Linked DNA regions of Canis lupus familiaris. The protein of the gene in region 2 interacts with the protein of the main gene of each other region in a pairwise test. Links are inferred from orthologs where the notes say so. Each region holds a gene or a part of one and is shown on either strand. Other genes may lie near its edges. The genes, in order: RIOK3 and CASP10.

Evidence for each region.
Region 1: the proteins of CASP10 (region 2) and RIOK3 interact in binary tests that used the Homo sapiens proteins (3 or more experiments, as listed by UniProt). The link is inferred for Canis lupus familiaris from reciprocal best matches to the Homo sapiens genes CASP10 and RIOK3.

The regions. Positions count from the first base shown.
Region 1 is NC_049228.1:64,909,856-64,914,430, forward strand, and holds the start of RIOK3 (serine/threonine-protein kinase RIO3), read right to left. Parts: upstream 3,023-4,575; 5' UTR 2,854-3,022; coding exon 2,791-2,853; intron 2,548-2,790; exon of another isoform or gene 2,386-2,547; intron 1-2,385.
Region 2 is NC_049258.1:10,183,576-10,187,391, reverse strand, and holds part of CASP10 (caspase-10), read right to left. Parts: intron 2,991-3,816; coding exon 2,855-2,990; intron 1-2,854. UniProt on the Homo sapiens protein: Involved in the activation cascade of caspases responsible for apoptosis execution. Recruited to both Fas- and TNFR-1 receptors in a FADD dependent manner. May participate in the granzyme B apoptotic pathways.

The DNA.
Region 1 (4,575 bases), on a different chromosome or scaffold from region 2:
AGAGAGAGGCAGAGACACAGGCAGAGGGAGAAGCAGGCATCATACAGAGAGCCTGATGTGGGACTCGATCTAGGGTCCCCAGGATCATGCCCTGGGCTGCAGGCAGAGCTAAACCACTGTGCCACCGGGGCTGCCCTTCATATATTTCAACTAAAACATATCACAAAAGTCTTCTATTAAATCAGACATTAGGGATGCCTGGAAGGCTCAGTTGGTTAAGTATCTGCCTTTGGCTCAGGTCATGATCCTGAGGTCCTAGGTTGGAACCCCTAGTCAGGCTCCCTCTCCCTCTGCCCCTCCCTCCACTCATGCTCTTTGCTTGCTTGCTCTCTCTCTCTCAAAAAAATAAAATCTCAAAAAAAAAAAATCAGACATTAAAGAGATTTGCAAAAATACAATACTAAACCACTATTTTTGTTTGTTTTTTTTTTTAGAAAATGGGGGGGTTACAAATGAAAATTATATTTGTATTAACATATGATGACTTTGAAATCACCTAATAAAAAATTCTTCACTATTTCACTTTTCTTTCTGATATGACAAATATTAAAAGATGTAACTGATATAAACAAAAATTCTTTGGTGTCCTCAATGATATTTTAGAGTATAAATTCATCCTGACCAAAAAGTTTTGAGAATCGCTGGCCTTTGGCACTCTTTCCATTTTTCAAGACCTTCCTCAAATCTCCACCTCCACGAAGCCTTCGATAATCCCTTAGGTCTTCCAAGAGATTGGAGGAAGAAAGCATTAAGAAATACATACAGCCTAACTAACTGTTTGGTCTGTGAAAATGCTGTCTTCCAGTAGAACATCAATAAATTCCAGGATCATTCTTTTTGTTAAATGATGAAAATGAAATTTTATATTTCTGATGATGCATACTTAAATGAAAATATGACAACAAATATTTTATTATTAGTTTTGTAAGTGAAATTTGTTCTGACATTAGGTATTCTAGCGCTCGCTTTGACAGCACATATACTGACATTAGGTATTCTTTTTTTTTATTAAAGATTTTATTTATTTATTCATAGAGACAGAGAGAGAGAGAGGCAGAGACACAGGCAGAGGGAGAAGCAGGCATCATACAGAGAGCCTGATGTGGGACTCGATCCAGGGTCTCCAGGATCACGCCCTGGGCTGCAAGCAGCGCTAAACTGCTATACCACCGGGGCTGCCCTTCTTTTTTTTTTTTTTAAGATTTTATTTATTTATTCATGACAGACAGAGAGGGAGGGAGAGAGAGAGAGAGAGAGAGAGAGAGACAGAGACACAGGCAGAGGGAGAAGCAGGCTCCATGCAGGGAGCTTGATGTGGGACTCGATCCTGGGACTCTAGGATCACATCTGGGGCTGAAGGCGGTGCGAAACTGCTGGGCCACCAGGGATGCCCTGACATTAGGTATTCTGAGCAATGTTTGTCTCATTTGACATTTTTTTTTTATTTGACATTTTAATCAGCCTTTAGGTGCTTAACTGTAAGAACTTAACATATAAAGCATATATTTATTAGTATCTGGCTACTAATTTTCTTTTTATGTCTACTGGTCTTGGCCTCATAAACAAGGCTTAATAGAAGGAAATGACACAAAATAACACGTAGATACAACATTTGCCAATAGATTATTTTAAATTCTCCCTATAGTTGTATGAGAACTTTCATAAAGTTAACTTTAATTAAACTTTCAGGGCAGCCCGGTGGCTCAGCGGTTTAGCACCACCTTCAGCCCAGGGCATGACCCTTGAGACCCGGGATGGGAGTCCCACGTCGGGCTCCCTGCATGGAGCCTGCTTCTCCCTCTGCCTGTGTCTCTGCCTCTCTCTCTCTCTCTGTGTCTCTCATGAATAAATAAATAAAAATATAAGAAGAAGAAGAAGAAGACGACCTAGCCTAAAGATCTAATAAAACAAGTGATCCAAAAATAAATAAATAAATAAATAAATAAATAAATAAATAAATAAATAAAAAACAAGTGATCCTTTAAAAGGAACAAATATTCCGTGACAGCAAGTGAAAAACAATTAGGAAGCTAATAAAAGTTGGACTCCTTCCAACCTTAATTTGAGGAACACAACATCCCAGTTGAAGCATCCCTTAATTTGAAGCAATCCTGCTTTCAAACAAACCCTCAATAAAGCGGCAGAAGAGTCTTTTCATCCCTCTGACAAAATTATCATGCAAAGGGGCAGTCTGAAAACCAAAAACCAAATGTGAAATAAACGTAATAGGTGGTTAATACAGAAAAAGAGTTTAAACCTGAAAGCCTATGCAGATAATAAGAACTCATAACCTTTTTTTTTTTTTTTTTTTTTTTTTTTTCCCACAGTAGGTAGTGTACACCTGAGTATCAGCCCGGGGGAGAGGAGTATCAGCCCTGGACTTACCCAATATTCACTGCTTCAAAAACGAGAAATTGCCCAAGTCGGATAACCGCATTTGTCAAGTTAAGGAAACAGCTGCCAATGTGTCCTTCCCGTCGGGCTTTCCGTGCATTACTCGGCTGACTCGCTCGGCCGGTGACAAACAAGATCATGCTTGTTTCCCCTCAAACGTCAGAGCCTCTAACCGGGCCCGGCCCAGACAGCTGCTAGGGAGGTTCAGGAGTCGAGGCGCAGAACTCGAGAGCGAGCCCCAACCGCCGACAGCGGCCACTGGCAGCCCCGCTACCCGTGCCCCACCCTCCCGAGTCGCCGGCCGAGCCGCCCGGGCGCCTGACACTTTCTCCGGGCCTCCTGAGAGGACCAGCGCGGGTACCCAAGGCAGGTGCGTCAGCTCCGACCGCCACTCACCTTGCTGGGTCCCCAGGCTGCTGCGGGCCTCGGCTCAGGAGATGCCACTCCGACCAGATCCATGTTGGAAGAGAAGCCAGCAACGAGGACACAGGGCAGACAGATGGCAGGACCGGGAAACAGCCTCCTCCGAGGAGACAGGCGGCGGGGCTGGGGCGACGCGCGGCGGGCGCCGGAGCTGAGGTGACAGATGGCGGCGCGGCCGCGGCCGGAACTACATCTCTTCTCTTCCGCCCTCTCCGCCGGGACCCTCGCTTCTGATAGGCTGCCCGCCCCGGTCTGGCCTCCTTTCCCCGCCCCCGGCGCGCCGCACTTCCGGCCGCTGCCTCCGGCCGGGTCTGTCCACGCCGCGGGCTTTGACTTGCGGCCGCGGTGGCCGGTGCCGGACGGAGCCGGCGGCGGGTGTGGCTTCCTCTGGCCGGACTGCGCCGTGTTCCCGCACCTCCTTCTCCTTCCTTCCCCACCTGCCTGCCCGAGACAGCATCTGGAGCTCGTTAAACCGAGGCTGCGTGTTACTCCGGGTATAACAACAAACAAACGAGGCTTCTTCCGTTCCTTCGTTGTTTTCGGGGCTAGTTCTGGTCTGGGATGGTACGGGGGACAGAAAATAGCGGGAGCAGAGGGGTCCGATGTTGTTGTTACGGCAGTTTGCCGTTAGGAAGCGGGGCATAAAAAGGTGAAAATTTGTAAGATGCGTTAAAGAACATTAAGCAGGGATCCCTGGGTGGCGCAGCGGTTTGGCGCCTGCCTTTGGCCCAGGGCGCGATCCTGGAGACCCGGGATCGAATCCCACGTCGGGCTCCCGGTGCATGGAGCCTGCTTCTCCCTCTGCCTGTGTCTCTGCCTCTCTCTCTCTCTGTATGACTATCATAAATAAATTAAAAAAAAAAAAAAAAGAACATTAAGCAAAAAATAGGACTGCCTAATAAAAGCTTTGATTGGTGTTTTGTAGATTCTCCTAAAGTGACCGGATAAAAACAGCTAGGCGTTACATTTCACTTACTATGTTCGTGCTTTGTTCAAAGTACTGTATTAGCTCTCAGTCCTCAAAATAATCACGAGAGGGGCACGTGGGCGGCTCCGGGGTTGAGCGCCTGCCTTTGGCTCAGGTCGTGATCGTGGGCTCTTGGGATCGAGTCCCGCACCAGACTCTCCTCGGTGAGCCTGCCTCCCTCCCTCTGCCTATGTCTCTGCCTCTCTCTGTGTCTCTTACGAGCAAATAAACCTTTAAAAAAAAAAAGTCACAAGAGGTGCATTCTATTTCTAGCATGATCTTGATTTTACCAATAATGAAACGTAGGCACACAGAACTGAAGCAACCTGCTGGAGGTCATATGGCTAAGGAGGGGCAAAGCTAATGCGTCGTGAACCCAGGCACCATGGGCTAGGGGACTGGCTCGATATGTCTACATGTTGACTATTAAGACGTTCCAGACAGAAACGCTCCATAACAATGTTCCTGCATTGCCAGTTCTGGGCCAGGACCCCTGACTGTCTATGCTTGAGATCCCTAGGATACCCACCTTGATGGTTTCCTTTAGCAAACAATTTTTGCCATTCCAGGGCAGGACAGGTTCTGAATCTTCCAGAAACTACAAATTAAAATAAGGCAAAACTATATGATAGAATACAGACTTATTCTTGGCAAAGGTTGCCCATATATATGAATGTATGTGAAAATCACATTCCCTCTTAAGGTTCAAAGGATTACAGTTGAGGTATAGAGGGGCAGCTAGGTGGCTCAGTTGGTTGTCTGCCTTTGGCTCAGGTCATGATTCTGAGATC
Region 2 (3,816 bases):
GGGAATGGGCTGGCAGTAAATAAACCTTCTTTGAATTTTTATTTTTGGGGCACCTGGGTGGCTCAGTGGTTGAGCGTCTGCCTTTGGCTCAGAGTGTGATCCCAGGGTCCTAGAATCAAGTCCCACATCAGGCTCCTGCACGGAGCCTGCTTCTCCCTCTGCCTATGTCTCTGCATCTTTCTCTGTGTCTCTCATGAATAAATAAATAAAATATTTTTAAAAATTTATTTTTAATTAAGATACATTATCTTTAATAAGAAATTTAAAATAGTAAAGCAAACATCAAGGCTCAAGAAAATTCAGAAAGCTATCCTAGTGGTCCCCAAATACAGCTTGTGTCCTAATCAGATACAATGGACTTTGACTTTGCATCACATTCACTTGCAGAAAAGTCCAAAATCTGCCTACCTACTATCTTTTCAGTCTTTTAGTCCTTCATCCTAAATGGGAGAAATATACACAAGCTCTTAAACCTATACTAAAGTTAATACTGAAATATTGATATCTGATAAATATATATATATGCATATATATATATTTGGTCTTGCCCTCTTTTTCCTGGCACAGAGCTCCTAAAACTCTTGGAATCTCTGAACTGCTAGATTGTCTCTTGCTAATAAGATGTTAATGAGTTGACTGGTAATTGGGGCTCCTGGGTAGCCTCTGGAGGGAGGCAGTGTGCCAGAGGAATAAACCTGTGGTCAGAAAGTTGGAACTTTCAACCCCATACTCAGACCTCTGGGAAGGGAAGAAGAGCCAGAGCTTGAATTAATCATGATGGCCAATGATTTAAATCAATCGTGCCTATATATGAAGCTTCCATATAGAACTCTAACTGAAGGGGCTTGGAGAGCTTCCCGGTTGGTAACTGACGAAAAAGGTACAGTGTTTGTCCCTGAGAAGTTCAATATATGGGGGAAGAGGCATTGCCAAGTAAATTATCTATATGTGAAGGTGCTGGGGAGGTGAGCTGCCTGGAGAGGGCCTGGAAGCCTTATGCCCCTTCCCTCATACCTTGCCCTATGCATTTCTTATATTTGGCTGTTGCTGAGTCAAATCTTTTTATAATAAAAAAGTAATCTAGTAAGTAAACTGTTTTCCTGAGTTCTATGAGTTCTAGCAAATTACTGAACTGAGGACAGGGTCATGGGAACCCTCAGTTTATAGCCAAATGGGACAGAAGCCATGGGTATTCTGGGGACCCATTAATTTGCAACTGGTGTCTGAAGTAGGGGGCACTCTTAGGGCATTGAGCCCTTAACCTAATTGAGTTAAGGTCTGTGCTAACTCTGGTTAGTGTCAGAATTGAATTAAATCGTTAGACACCCCGATGGTATCTGTAGAGAATTAGAGAATTACTTGGTATGGAAAAATCCTACCCATCTATGTCAGAAATGTCCCAGAAGTGTTGGTGTGATAGGAGCAGAGGACAAGTTTGTTTGTTTGTTTTCTTTTGACATCCAAAAGAGATCAACCAGCAGGTAGGTTGTAAAAAAAGAAAAATCAAAATTAGAAATCTTCTGATATAAAGCTCACATCTTAAGACTCACTGAGCCATTTACTACATAAACATTAGAGTATCTTCTCCAGAGTTCAACTACCCAGAACAATCTGACCACCTGCCTGTTTATTTTGTGTGGGGTACTAACTACAGGAAAATGGGAATGTAATCAGAAAAAAAAATCTTAGCATTCAGAGCTCAGTGAGGATTCCAAAAGTACTTTTGATATCAACTCCCAGCTTTTTATTTCTCATTTGATAACTTAGGTTAGAAGAAACATTTTATTCTTCATAACTTCTACTTAAATTATGCATTTATTCATTACTTTAGTTATTTTGGGGGATTTTAGCAATTTAACAACAGTGTATTTTGTTCCTCAACACATTTTGTATTTATAGAATTCTTAGAGAGAAGTTTCCTTTTAGATAGTTTCGTTTTTAACCAAAGACATTTGCACACCAGATTGACTCCCTGAATTAAAATATGGGTGTGGCATAAAGTTTCATGAATATACTCATGCATTTCTATTTCTGGAGAAAAAGAAATGTGGAGAAAAATAACCTGGAAAAACACAAACTTAGTCTATTGATAAATAGTAAGCAAATCATCCAGGTGTTATTTCCATCCTCTGCTATACCTCTAGCATTACTATATTTACAAAACACAATTAAAAAAACAAACAAGGAAATAAAATTCTTCTTCCTCATACTAATTCTAAGAATATGAAAGTTTTCATGACTTTCTGACAAACATATTTATAGCAACATGTTTTATTCTATGCTAGACATGTATTTTTTTAGGAATTACTTCATTTGACCCTCAAAACACCCACGAGGTATGTACTATTATTATCTCCATTTTATGGGTGAGGAAAGTGAAACAGAAAGGCTAAGAAAAGAACCACTGCCCCATTAATAAGTGGAGTCCTGGTAATCTGACTCGCTAGACCTCATTCTTAATCCCCATGCTACCCCACCTCCTTCATTATTTCACTCAAAACAATTTTCTATCTCTCCCCTCCTATAAAAATGAAAAAAAAAGACATTTATCTTTTTTTTTAAGACATTTATTTAAAACTACTTTTCTTCACTAGAATATAAGCTCCAAGATAGCAGGAGCTTTGCTCTATACATCTTCTAGGCACCTTCTAAAACTGTGCCTAGTTCCGAGTATGCATTCATAAATAGGTCTTGAATGAATAGACAGGGAGAGAGTTCTGGCTTTCCCAAGGGAATATTATCAGAGTGATGAGTAAACATCATATACCACCAATTAGTTTAAGAATTTCATGGTCTTAAAAAAAAAAAAAAAATTTCATGGTCTTGTGCAAGCAAATAAGTGTAAGCTACTTACCTTTCTCTCTTTTGTATCTTTCAATCTTTCTTATAAGGTTAGGTACAACTTTTCTACAGAGATCCTCCAGTAACCCCAGATTATCCTCATCTATTAGAGCTTGTTTCTCCAAATATGCCAGGAAACTTAGAGGGGTCTGCAAGAGAATCAATGGAGTCACATTTACTTGCCTTCTGATGATCCATTCATTCTTTAAACATTACTTGCATGGTCTCTAGTCACCAAGTCTCACAATGACGAAAAAGGTACAGTGTTTGTCCCTGAGAAGTTCAATATATGGGGGAAGAGGCATTGCCAAGTAAATTATCTATATTAATAACAAATACCAAATATACATAACTCACTATATACCAGGCATTACTTGCTATATATTACCTCAAAAACAAGCCAATAAAGCTAGATACTATTATAACCCCCATTTTAAAGATGAAATTACTGGAGTTCAACAACTTGTCCAAACTCACAGAGCCAATAAGTGGCAGAGCTGGTATTTGAACCCTGGCAGTCTGATGTCAAAGGCTCTCTTATTAATTATTGAGCTATACGCGCTGTCACTCACATATGTAAATGACATTAGATTAGGGCAGCAGCAAAACAGAGACACCAAAGATACAAAGGGTAAATATTTAGTATTTTAAAAGAAAAAAATTCTTTTTTTTTTTTTTTAAAGAAAAAAATTCTTAAATGCTGCTGGGAAAAATAGCAAATTGGCTAGTATTATTTTAATATTGAATTACATGCAGGGTGGAAGGCACCATAATCTTTTCAGTGAATAGCACTTCTCAGTGTATTAAGCTGGTTATGAGAAAATATATACGAACAAACTTACATCAGAGCCCACAGAAAAGAGTAACTCATCAATAGTGAACTTCTGAACACTACTATCTCATTGCACACATAAGCATCAGCTAGGTGGGACCTGGGGCGAGTTCTCCAGACATATTGAAAGGCTGAACAGATAG